Saccharomyces cerevisiae S288C: one gene and its partner. The protein of the gene in region 1 interacts with the protein of each later gene in a pairwise test. Each region holds a gene or a part of one and is shown on either strand. Other genes may lie near its edges.

Evidence for each region.
Region 2: the proteins of TMN2 (region 1) and DFP3 interact in a protein complementation assay, tested with the Saccharomyces cerevisiae proteins (one large-scale study listed by BioGRID).

Annotation. Positions count from the first base shown.
Region 1 is NC_001136.10:665,185-672,628, forward strand, and holds TMN2 (Tmn2p), read right to left. Parts: upstream 5,851-7,444; coding exon 3,832-5,850; downstream 1-3,831. Other genes in the region: TMS1 (Tms1p), read right to left, coding at 165-1,586; ARP10 (Arp10p), read left to right, coding at 1,820-2,674; TRS85 (Trs85p), read left to right, coding at 6,085-7,444. UniProt on the Saccharomyces cerevisiae protein: With EMP70 and TMN3, plays a critical role in the late stages of a nutrient-controlled pathway notably regulating FLO11 gene expression. Acts downstream of RAS2 and TOR. Essential for cell adhesion and filamentous growth.
Region 2 is NC_001135.5:123,709-130,091, forward strand, and holds DFP3 (DUP240 family protein), read right to left. Parts: upstream 3,023-6,383; coding exon 2,303-3,022; downstream 1-2,302. Other genes in the region: serine/threonine protein kinase SAT4, read left to right, coding at 4,762-6,383.

The DNA of each region.
Region 1 (7,444 bases):
GAAGCGATATCTCAATTAGATAATTAAGATCCATTTTTTTTTGAGGGAGGTTTACTCATCTTCTTGAAACTAGTGCATGAGTATAGTAAAATTAGTGTTTCTACTGGGGGCTACTTAAAAAAAAGTTACATACATTATAAGAAAATCTTTTTGTGTTAGTCTATTTAATAGTAATTCTCGTAATCAAATCTATCGGGCATAATCGCTGGGGCTACCACTGTCCAACCGTAAAGGGCATAACATATCCATGCACTAACTATTTTTACCCAAGAATAAAAATATGTTCTTCCTACGGGTATAAAATCACCTACATCATCCTGGGTAACGTTTATTGTTAGTAAAATTGCAATCCACTGGGTTGCCAGAAAGAATATAACGTGGAACAGAGTGTAATTGTACTTGGTTCCAGTCCTTTCATCATCATTTTGGTTATCCATTGCGCCTGTAGGAGATGATGTCCCTAACCAAGCGGTATCATATAAGGCACTTTCCGGTAAAGATCCTTCTTCTACAGCTTGTTTAATAGCTTCATACCTCAACTGATTTCTTGTCTGTCCACCTAGTCCTTCGTACTCGATATCATTCCCGAGATATATAGCACCATTAGTATTGGTGCCTTGAAAAGCACTATTAGCAGCGGCTCTAGTTGTGGTGTAAGCAATCGCAATAAAAGTAAATAAAGAGCCCAAAATGATACTAAACTTACGGGTTCCACTAGATCTAACCAACGGATTACACATTTTGTCATCCGGTTCGGAAGACATGGCACTCATTGTCAAATAAGTACAGTAAACAGAAACCATACTACTTTGGGCCAGCCCACTTTTAGGGTTGGCCTCTTGGATCTTAGGATTCACCGATAAGACAAGCGTTATAACAGTTAATATTAAATTGACTGTTACCGCTGTTTGATTCATGTTACATTGTTGATGACAAAACATAACATACATAACAACAGTCATGATAATCGATGCGGTATACATTGAAGTTGTCCCTAAAACCAAAAATCGTTGCCAGAATGAGGAATCTTCATCTTCTGACTCAACGTGACTAATACACGTTTCAGCCCACTCATGAGCGAAGTCTACTAATAATATAAGCCCAACCAGGATGAAAATTGCTCCACTAGGGACTGACACCCACTTGGAAAAGAAAATATAAAAGTCATTGGGGATGACAAATGACAAAACAATGAGACATAAATACAGTATAAATTTTAAACTCCACCACGAATTCTGTAATGCTGCTCTTACGTCATTAGTCGACTTTACGCCCGTTAGTACAAGCGCCAATATCAAATGTAAGCATCCCAATGCAAAATTCAACCTATGAACTGTAAAAAATCCACATTCCCCAGTCCCAGTACATGTCTTCCCTGGCCATAGGATTGATTTGTTCGCAGAATAGGACACCCATGATATCAATGAGTTAAGTAAAAGCCAAACGGCGTACAGAAGTCTTGTCCCTAAAGAAGAAGATCCTAGGGAAGATGCAGTCTTAGTCACCAAGTTTGAGCAGCAACCTCCAAAACAGGACGCCACGAATGAGCCCGCCATGCTAACTGGCAAAGAAATTACGGCACCCATGGTAGATTGTTGTACTTTGTGATGGGTATTTTGATATGAAGTAAATCTGTTGTTTGATTATAAACTTCGTTTTGGGGGCATAAAGACCTCAAAAACAGTTCTCTTTTTTGTTAGAATCTAATTGTCGGAACTTCTATTGTAGCCGAGAGACATAAACAAAAGAGGTACAAATACTACAATATTCGACACTGTGAAATGATAAAAAAAATCTACCCAGGAAACCCTATGAGGAAATGTCGAATACTATTGTGATAGTCTATTTGGGAGCTAACAGAATCGAAATTGGAAGAAGTGCTGATGCGTGTCCACAAGAAATTATCGCCTGGAAAACAGGTAGTATTAATGAAAAAAATAGGGAAGAATTGAAAAAAATATTTGAACATTACTTCCAAATTTGCAACATCTTGGGAAATCGAGAAGTACAAGTGTTGATACTAGAAGATATCTTCATTTCTGTAGTAGAGAAAAGAATTATTTGTAGCATCTTGTTTAAGGAATTTGACTGCGCTCACGTTTCGTTTGTCCCCAGGGCCATTGTGCACTGCTTATCCTGTAATACAAGGAATGCCATAGTTATAGATATAGGTACCAATTATACTACATGCGTACCTATTTTCGACCTTAGACCTTTGCAACAGTTCATAAAATACTCAAAACGAGGCAAAAGACAGGTTGAGTCAAGAATTCCTCTCCCGGGCAGTCTCTACATGCCAATATTTTTTGACGAAGAATACAACTCTAAAAATTGTGAAGTAGATGAAACCCCGGTAATAAATCTTGTCAAAAATATTGTAGAGTCACTTCCTATCGACTTGAGAAGGCCACTGAGAGAAAATATCATTATAGTAAACATTGAAGAGGCGTATGAAACAGTAATAAGGAATTTATTCAAGTTAAAAATGGATACGTCCAAAATCCAGTTTCCTAAAAATTACTGGCAGGCTGGTTCTGCATGCGCGAAAATACTTCTGCACTATAAGGGGAGCAACATTGTAGGAATAGAAAGAGATGAGTTTTATAACAATCCTCATATTGCTCCTGATTGGTTTGATTATTACTTCAGAACTGGAGTGAAGCGCTTACAATAGGCTTTATGTATATGTAGAAAACAAAAACAGGAAGTGTTCTCTTCACCAAACTGCGTCTTTCCACAACAATTAGCCTTATTGAGCTTTTGATGTAAAAGTTTATGATAGTAAAGAGCTATTTTTAACAATAGAGGAGAAAAAATAAAAATGGTCTCTAGCGGGATCGAACCGCTGATCCCCGCGTTATTAGCACGGTGCCTTAACCAACTGGGCCAAGAGACCAATTTGGATCGAAAGTGTTGTATCTCAAAATGAGATATGTCAGTATGACAATACGTCATCCTAAACGTTCATAAAACACATATGAAACAACCTTATAACAAAACGAACAACATGAGATAAAACACGGCCTTCCCTAGCTGAACTACCCAAACGTATAAATGCTTGAACAATTAGTTTAGATCCGAGATTCCGCGCTTCCACCACTTAGTATGATTCATATTTTATATAATATATAAGATAAGTAACATTCCGTGAATTAATCTGATAAACTGTTTTGACAACTGGTTACTTCCCTAAGACTGTTTATATTAGGATTGTCAAGACACTCCGGTATTACTCGAGCCCGTAATACAACAGAAAGTTAACCATTAATATTTCACCTAATTACACACTCTCCTAAAGAATTTGGATTTGATAACTATCATGTCATTTGAAAGAGTAACTCGTTTTCAGATTTATTATTGCCGGAATAAAAATAAATAAATATATCGAATAATATTCTTTATTATTAATGTCGAATGAGTTGTTAGAAGACTTCATAACAATTATCGGATTTAATGGAAGCTGAAGTGCAAGAATTGATAATTTAATAAGATAATGAATTTAATATAAAATATAAACGGAGAGAGAATAATGTTGTTATATAGAATTGTTGATTCCCTTTTGCGGATTTCTTATATCCTCGAGGAAAACTTCTAATATATATCCAATATAATCGTTTCCAAATTGTGAAAGAAAAAAAAATCTTCAATACAGTGTATTAGTGCTACATAAAAACGCGTTAAAACTTGCATTCCAATTTATCAAAAAGTTTGCCAGGACATATAGGATATAAATGCATTGCGAAGTAAAACACTTCTCAAAAAATTAAAAAAAAAAAAAAAAATAAAACTAACGTATTCACTTCTTTTACTTTAGTGGAGAGAATAACGAAATCACTCAACTTTAATGGCAGAGTATATCTTCCTAATAAAAAACATACTACTAAAAAAACCAATCGCTCCAGTGACGACACAACATAATGCAGATATAATAAGTGAATATCCGAGATAGAGCACGACAGTAATAACTCCACCAAGCTTGAACTTAGTAAATAGTATGGAGTGGATGAACGTATAGATTGAACATCCTAAACCACCAATAATAAAACTTCTCCATTGCCATAGCCAGTTTTCTAGACATAACGAGTAATATGTGATCAAGATGGTAACTAATGAGGTTGTCAAGGTCAACAATAAGAATGAAAAGAGTAAAAATCCAAACATATAAAAAATTTTGTTGAACCATAAACTGGAGTAAATGAAGTACAGCTCAACCGCTATTGATCCGAAACTGAAAATTCCAGCGATTAAGGTTGCTTGTGCTGTTCTCAAGTACCAGGGTTGATATGGAATCTGTCTGGCGATTTGGTTTGTTTTAGTTGGATGCTCATCCCAATTACACTGCTTATGAGCAACAATTGAACCCGCAAACGACAACGGAACAGAAACTAAAAACCATAGAAGAATGATAAAGAATAGGCTTCTCGCTGGGATGACACCTGAAGAATGTGCAAATAACAAAAAGAAGTTCATTATTACAATCAGTAAAAAAATTGCTCCAGGAAGTAATATTGGCGTTAATATCATATTCGCCTTCCAATAGGGTCCACGAAAAAATTTGTAGACACCCATTGAGGCGTAGGATCCTACAAATCCAAATAATGCATAAAGAACAAACATTACAGTTGGCAGGGATCCTCTGGAAACAGGCGACACAAGACCTACTGCGGCAAAAAAAATGCTACACATGACCATCAAAAATAACTGCATACCGGATCCCACAAGAATGGATAGCAGCATCGACTTAGATGGGGTTCTAAATACGTCACCATGGCCCAATTTCCAGCCAGAATCTTCATGGAATTCATTATCCAAGTTTAGTTCGTTATAACGAGCGAGATCGCTTTTCAAAGCCCGTAATAGAGAATGCATTACAACAGATGACAACAAAATAACAATAACGGAAAAATTTATTAATGAAAACCATTGTATCTGCGGGTCATAAATATGTAGATACTTATCCCATCTCGTAGCCCACACTGTATCAGAGGCAACAAATTTAACAGAATAAGTGAAGTAAACCTCGTTATCCTTATCCTCGTCTAGTATCAGAGGTTTTCCCGTTGTAGAACACGCGCCAGGTGACGATCTTTCGATAGATACAGGGTTTACAATGACACCAACAACTCGGTAATTATCGTTTCCACGATCGTGAAATTCCACTTCAATGTCAAAATGATTTACAAAGTAAGGTAATTCTACCGTTTTAACTAAATTAGGCTTAACATTCTTGGGCAGTCGAGCATCCAATATAACATCCTCATTTGAGGCCTCTGAAGTAAGCTCTTCCATCGTACTGGGAACTGCTTTACCGTCAACGGTTTGCTTAACATCTGTAAAACCTAACTCAAATCCTGTGCCGTAATAGTTTGTTTTTGTTCTGCTATCATAAGCCTTTCTTGCTGCTGGCAATCCATCCACGAGCCAGTTTTGGAAAAATCCACTTTTAATAAGGGTGTTGATAAATTTGGCATCTTTTCCCGGAATCGTGCTTTTACAAAGTGCAACACACTCTTTCTCCTCTAACATGTTCAATTGGAATGGGGAATTGTAAATTCTGTCACCAAATATGACTGAACCTAACGACTCAGGCTGTTTCTCAACGTGCTCTGGTCTACAAAAATGAAACCTCTTATTATAGTAATCATAGGAGTAAAGAAAATGTTCTTTATCGCCTGAAACATCGTTACCTTCCTCATCTTGATGCTGAAAGTAAATTGATGGAGTCAAGCGGTTCACCAATAGCGGGATTTCATCGCCTGAGTGATATGTTGTGGGAGATAGGCCTGGCAAGGAAAATCCTTTAGTTAAAGTTGCATAGCAATAAATCAGCAACCAAACACCTCGTTTCATTACCGATTATTAATTATCAATATGTGTACTAATATAATTGTCAAAATTTATGATGTAAATTTAGGGTTCCCAACATATTTTACTCAACTGTAAACAAGTCATAATTTCCTCGGACAAAATTAGGCAAAATAACAGAAAAACCAATGGATGGGATGGGTAGGAAAATGAGTAAGTAACCCAAACAAACGGTACCTCTTTATTCAGTCGGCTTTACAGATACTGAGGTAACTTATAATGGTTTTTTCTTATGAGCACTATATGAATCTCCTTTTCCATTTGGATAACAGTAAAGAAACGGTGCCTCCAGAGATTGCAAAAAGAATAATTTCAAATGCTATAGCTCCTGTAATAACAGTTACTTCAACTCCTCTCTTCGACAAACATATTCAAGAAACGTACAAAGTAGATTCTCTCTATATGCTGCTGCGATTCTTTGGCGGTTGTGTCTCTGATAGAGATCAAGCCAATGAAGCGAAGGTTGGACAGCATGAGCATGAGGTTTGTGATGCAAGTGACTCGACGGATTCAATTCCCAAAAATAAAAATTTGGAAGTGCCCAATTTATCAAAGAAAGGTAGTCGCAGTAGGTCGAATAGTCTTTTCCAGAGGGATTCAACGCAATCTCAATATATCAGGTTTACAAGGCCATTAGGTGACTTGATCGAAACAAGAGATGCAAATGATATGTTATTCAATTACCATTCTTTAGAGGTATTCTTAGATAATTATTTGAAATTGGTTGCAGCAAATACTGATGAAATGGTTCCTCATAATCTTCTTAAGAAATCCATTTATCATAGTTTCTTTTCACTAGCAATTTCATCCACAAATAACTTATCGCCCTATGAAACTTTTAATCACCCTATTCTTTCCTTGATTGCTTTAGATATATCAAATGGCGAAGTTTATGAGGATGCAAGAGATCTTTTAGTCAATTTCAAGAATCTTAATCATAATACTGAAAACTTTCCTATCTTCATGAATACAAATGAAATGCTTCCAGTTTTCTTACTCTGCTACAATGACGATTCCCAAGAAGAATTCGAAAAATGCCAGGCGTTAGCTAAGAAACTAAAGAAGCAGTTGTTTGTTGAGAGTATCTTACTAGCACTCTGGAAGGATTCTTTTATTTACGACGAAAATTCAGTCATACAGTTACACCAACCAGTAATGTCATCGCTTGAAGAAATTCTCTTCTTCCTTCAAGCTCCAACTCAAACAACACTCTCTCTGGCTTTGATAAACTCGATCTATGATATGCTTGATTATTTGGTTTATGATTTAATGATACCATTCATGAAAAGAAAAGTGTCATTCTGGGAAGAGACAATTTTACAGCCAAGAAAGTCGCTATTTAATGGTGCAAAGTTTTTCAAAAAATTTATGAATAAAAATCCTGTCAATGGTAATCACCAACATAATTCTCTAACGAGAGACAGCCAGGGAAATGAATACTTCGCATCGTCATCTTCTGAGTTTTTGATGAGAAAGTTAGCAGATTGGTCTATGATGCTATCCGACTTCAAAACTGCTTATTCCACATACGAATCGCTTATGGATGACCTAGATGCATTTCCAAAGTACCTGGCATCAT
Region 2 (6,383 bases), on another chromosome or scaffold:
GCCATCGTCATTGACCTTTTTCTTAACGACCAGATTAACAGCCAGTTATTGAAAGTTTGCGAACGTGAAGTAAAACTGCAAAATGGTCGTTTTAAGTCAAAAGTAACCCTGCGTCACACATGAGAAACATTATCGCTAAGTTGTTGTTACTACTTCTTGTAATTAACTTACTGTCGCATTCCAAATGGACTGCGAAACAGACACGAAACAATTACGAAAGTGACGACAGAGTAAATATTGTCATTAAAGAGAATGATGACCTCCGGGTAAACTGTGAGAATAAGTCTAGACCATTCGTTAAACTTCATCTTTAATTGAGAAGCATAGTAAAAAATAATTAACAAGTTAACACAACTATCTTGACCCATGCTACCAAGGACATAAGTAATATCCTCCACCACTTTTACTCAAAGTATATCTCATTCTGAGAAATGGGTGAATGTTGAGATAATTGTTGGGATTCCATTGTTGATAAAGGCTATAATATTAGGTATACAGAATATACTAGAAGTTCTCCTCGAGGGTCTAGGAATCCCCATAATGGAATCTATATTTCTATATACCAATATTACGATTATTCCTCATTCCGTTTTATATGTTTCATTATCCTATTACATTATCAATCCTTACACTTCAGCTTCCTCTAACTTCGATGACAGCTTCTCATAACTTATGTCATCATCTTAACACCGTATATGATAATATATTGATAATATAACTATTAGTTGATAGACGATAGTGGATTTTTATTCCAACACATTCGAGCTAGTATAAAATTGTGAGGAATTATCGGGCATCTTGTTTATTAGGTACGCAAATTGTAATAATTGCCAAGTTGTGCTTTTTAGTTGAGAAGTATTCCGTCCTCATGAAATGGCTAATATAAGTATGGATTTCATAAATATTATCCAAAGTAATTATACACACTTGTTTTTTGCTATGTCTTGGGTTTAAGAGAAAATGCTACATAGACCGTAAGAACGTCTTCAAGAATGCAAGGATGCTGCAAGCGAAGTTGTTCCCGTTATGAAGCAGAAAGGGCACATCAACATGGTTCAAAGATTTAAATTTCGGCACTTGTTCTTGTTCACTATATGTTTTAAGATTCTTATCGTGCAAGTATTCAATTATATCCTCTAAGTGACCGAACAATCAACACATCAAGATTTTTGTAGTTTTGAAGTTCCACAACCTACAGGTTAGTGCTATTTGGTCTAATTTATACATGGGAACTATGTGAAACAGTAATGTTAGCACAATGGACCTCTCAAAGCCTAAGAAAATTTTGCTGGGGACAAAAAGTGGTTCTTGATGGTAAAGAAGTAGTTTAGCTTCATAATAATTTCTTTGTAAAATTTTTCTCGTAGCACACTAAGCTTTCAGAAATCAAATAAGGCAGAGGAAGTGGTTTTGTCGTATTCAATGACTAATTGTAAGACTCGAGTATAACTTATGCAGTTTCCAAGAAGTAAGCAAACAGTTTCTCTCAACCTTTGGTGACACACTATGCGCATGCAAGTCGTAATGCTTCTCTATTTATGTGTGGGTTTATTAAAATAGTTAGAATTATCTAGGTTTGTGGGAATTTGGCCATGAATATTGAATAGTAACAAGAACAAAGCGTGAAAATGTTGAATATAATGAAAGCTGAAGACATCAAATCATGTTCTCCAAATCTTTCTGTCTCGTATATTTTCTTTGATATTTGTTTTATGCGGAAATTGCAGTGGAAACAATCGCGAAACATTCGAGAAAGAAACTAGGTAGCTACAAAAGTATGGAAAAAAGGGTAATAAGCATTCCTTTTTTTTTAGCCGCAAAGCCTGCTTAACCATACATGAAGCACTTTAACATATAGATGCTGCTCTTCACTGTTACATTATATACAGAAAAAAGTGCTCGCAATAAGAAACAAACCTTCAGAAAAAGAAGCTTATCTTGAGCACAAGTCATTCACAGCAAAATTTCTTTTTTCAGTTGCTACATGTTAATTATGGAGTCCTGAGAGTAAGTAACTAGCCATTAGAATTAATTTCCTTCCCTTAAAAATGATAGGGAATGCACGACAATACGTTAATGTGCACCCAACTTGCACCACAGCATATTCTATCCTTTAGTTTGTACAATATTATTAGCTGTGAGAAAGCCCCTTCGTGTGGCACAAATTTATTAATCTCTGTCAAAATACTTCTACTTGTTTATACTGTATAAACGATTAAGTTCCATTATGAATTGTGAATTTAGAATCGGTTTGGTACATCGCTCAGTATAAGTGCTAAATAAAATTATCAAGATTTATATTTCATGGTATATCGGCGTCAGGATATTGCTTTCTCCAATATTCCTGTTGTGCTTGTTTCTCAACTTCTACTGCTTTAACAAAGTATGCTTCGAATATTGGGTCAGAACTGAAACTAAAGCATTTTATTACCTCATTTGAAGCCTCATTTGCTGGTGCATCTATCTGCGTACTTGTGGCGTCCTTTACCGATGAATTTACATTCACACCTGGGGGTTTTTCTTTCACAAGAAATCTGAAGAATTTGTAGCATCTTTCACTACTATAAAAGTAATAGCGAGTACTCCATAAACCATTATCAAGTAAATATTGATTCATATTGTCTGTGATTGCTCTCCATTCTTTTCCCTTTACCGCTGGCCTGTGGGTGATAACTTCCAGCAAAAGCTTAATTCTGAAACCCTCATCCGAGATATACACATTAAACGGAATCAACGTAGACAAAAACAAAATAGAAGTGACGAAAATTGAAAAACCAAAAACGACATCACAAGCTTTAACATTATGAAAGATCACAACTATTAAAATTGAAACTGAAAGTGCCAAGAAGGAAAATATCATCGGTTTGTAATGAGCCATCTCGTACAGCAAGTAGGTCATATATGATTTAAAGGTGTCTTCAGGTAAAGTGATATTTTCTGCGGATGATAACACATTTTGTTCCCCTAATGTATCCAATTTGACATCGTCATTATTACTGTTGTTGTCTAAATGAGGCTGCATGCAGATACGGAGTTTTGTTTCTTGTCTTGATATGGTATAGACAACCGACTGGTGTATATAAACAGAACACAGACTTACATTTTCAGGTTCGAAGTTTTATTGAAGTTCATAAACTCTTTTTAAATTATTTTGTAAACTTGAGCTATTCAAGCAGTATTCTTATTTAACCTAAGCATAGCCCCGGATACAAGGCGTATAATACCCAACTAACTTAAAATGAGAGCCACTTACTGAACACCTTGGAAGGTCATTGTTTGGTTGAAAGGAATATTATTAACTAAGCCTTAGAACAAGGCGTCACCTAAATGATAATGGCTTTTCTTCTGGGCGCGGTCGGGGCTTCGACTCATTTGATACTAGGTTAATTACCCTTTTACGCATACCTAAATATTTGTAACTTTAGATCTGTCCACTAAAAGCGTTTCGATGACTTAGTTGTGCTACTAATAGTAAACTCTTTGTGCAGGCAAATTATATCATCGCTGGCTAGACTTTTTGTCAAAAGTTCTGTTTATACAGTGGGCAGCTAGAGTGCTTAATAACAAAGATATTGTCCTTTAGACTTACACAAGAGCAGAAGCAAAGATAAGCACTGTTTGTTCTGCTTCCATCGTTTTTGCTGAAAATTTTGCATGCATATCCAACCAATATTTAACACCTGGATTATCTCGGTTCAAAGACTACAATAAACGCCCCAATAATTGTGATGCTTTTTTCAATCCAGCCCGCACAAATGAATACCGCTGCTATTGGATGCCATCTTCAGATGTACGTCCAAACTGTGGTTGGTATAGTTTTTAGAACCTCGTGGTGAGGAGTGTTCCATTCTTTCAAAGGCAATGAGAAAAAAAAACAGTTGCGATATTAGTCAACTGTTTTGCATGGTTTCTTTGACGCAGTTGTAAAATCATACTCGAAGGGTAGTTGGAAAATTTTCAACATATATTAGTAATACTTTTTCTGTAAAAGTGACACAAGATAAAATGACTCCATGGCCAAGTTGGTTAAGGCGTGCGACTGTTAATCGCAAGATCGTGAGTTCAACCCTCACTGGGGTCGTTAATTTTTCTTTTCTTTTTTTTTTTTTATCTCCGACGGAGAAAAAATTTTTTCTCAACCCCCGGCATGGCGAATGGAAAAATCACCTGGCACGTCATTTCATCAAATCAACATCGGCCTCCCCGTGCTAATATGTTAACAGGCCGAGCTCTTGCCATCTCACGCATTTTCCGCTATACAAATAGTATATATAATATTACAGCTTTTAAAGAGGGAAGAGGAAACGGAGAAGAAAATATACTACTTTATAGAGATATTCGGCAATTTTTTTTAGCAAAAGTTTATTAAACCCTAATATAGACCTTTACTTGGAGTTTCGATTTTAAGAATTTTTTATCATTTTTTTTTTTTGACGATTTCCTGTCGGTTTCGTTATAACCTGTTGTGTTGTTGTTGTTGTTGTTATTGCTGGGTTGTTGTTATTCACTTTAACATTATCGAATAAAATTTGGACTTTCAAAGTCCTGTTCAATAAGTTGTACTAAGCCTTTAAGCGTTTTTAAGTTACAAATAAAAACTGGAAAGCTTAAGGTAGCTTTCTAATATTAGGCTCTCAACCTTTTTTTACTCTCCATTTACCGCTAGATATTAACTAGTAGTAAGTATTGTGACTACTATTCCCTGTAATCAAAAAAAAAGTAATCAGATTTTATTTTATTTCGACATTACCCCTCAAATATATGACTGGTATGAATGATAATAATGCCGCTATTCCTCAGCAAACTCCAAGGAAACATGCGCTATCTTCTAAAGTTATGCAACTTTTTAGAAGCGGTTCAAGATCATCTAGGCAGGGAAAGGCCTCATCGAATATCCAGCCACCTTCTAATATAAACACAAACGTTCCATCGGCGTCTAAATCAGCCAAATTTGGTTTACATACCCCAACCACTGCTACTCCTAGGGTAGTTTCTAATCCTTCTAATACTGCAGGTGTGAGTAAACCGGGCATGTATATGCCCGAATATTACCAGTCGGCATCACCATCGCACTCTAGTTCATCCGCATCATTAAACAACCATATTGATATTAACACCTCTAAGTCATCATCAGCTGCTTCTTTAACTTCGTCAGTATCAGCTTTATCCTTATCACCCACATCAGCCATAAATATTAGCTCCAAAAGTTTGAGCCCAAAGTTCTCTCATCATAGTAACAGCAATACTGCTATTACACCCGCGCCTACTCCCACTGCTTCAAATATTAATAATGTAAATAAGATAACCAATACAAGTGCACCTATTTGTGGGAGGTTTCTTGTGCATAAAGATGGTACCCATGAACATCACTTAAAAAATGCTAAGAGACAAGAAAAGCTAAGCACAATGATTAAAAACATGGTTGGTGCGAGCAAATTACGTGGTGAGGCAAAATCTGCTGTCCCTGATATAATAATGGATCCAAAGACGACTTTAAAATCCAACAAGAATCCTCCTACTCTTTTTGCAGGCTTCATGAAGCAGGTCGTGGATATGGATGATAAATATCCAGAAGGCGCTCCCACAAGTGGCGCTTTAAATTGTCCTGAAAGGGATATATACAGGTCAGATCAAAAAGATTCCAAAAATAATACGCATAATATCACTACTACTAAAAAAGATAGGCAATGTTTTGCCGAAAAGTATGGTCGCTGTCAAGAAGTCCTTGGTAAAGGTGCTTTTGGTGTAGTAAGAATATGTCAAAAGAAAAATGTTTCTTCTCAAGATGGTAATAAAAGTGAAAAGCTTTATGCAGTGAAAGAGTTCAAGCGTAGAACATCCGAATCAGCAGAAAAGTATTCTAAGAGGTTGACTTCTGAATTTTGCATTTCTTCTTCATTACACCATACAAATATTGTTACTACACTAGATCTTTTCCAAGATGCCAAAGGCGAGTACTGTGAAGTAATGGAATATTGTGCAGGTGGCGATCTATTCACTTTGGTCGTTGCCGCCGGAAAATTAGAATATATGGAAGCAGATTGTTTCTTCAAGCAGCTTATTAGAGGTGTTGTTTATATGCATGAAATGGGTGTTTGTCATAGAGATTTGAAGCCTGAGAACTTACTGCTTACGCACGATGGTGTGCTAAAAATTACAGACTTTGGTAACAGCGAATGTTTCAAGATGGCATGGGAAAAAAATATTCACCTTAGTGGAGGCGTTTGCGGTTCATCGCCGTACATCGCCCCAGAGGAATATATCAAAGAAGAGTTTGATCCAAGACCCGTAGATATATGGGCATGTGGTGTCATTTATATGGCAATGAGAACTGGTAGACAATTGTGGAGTTCTGCTGAAAAAGACGATCCATTTTATATGAA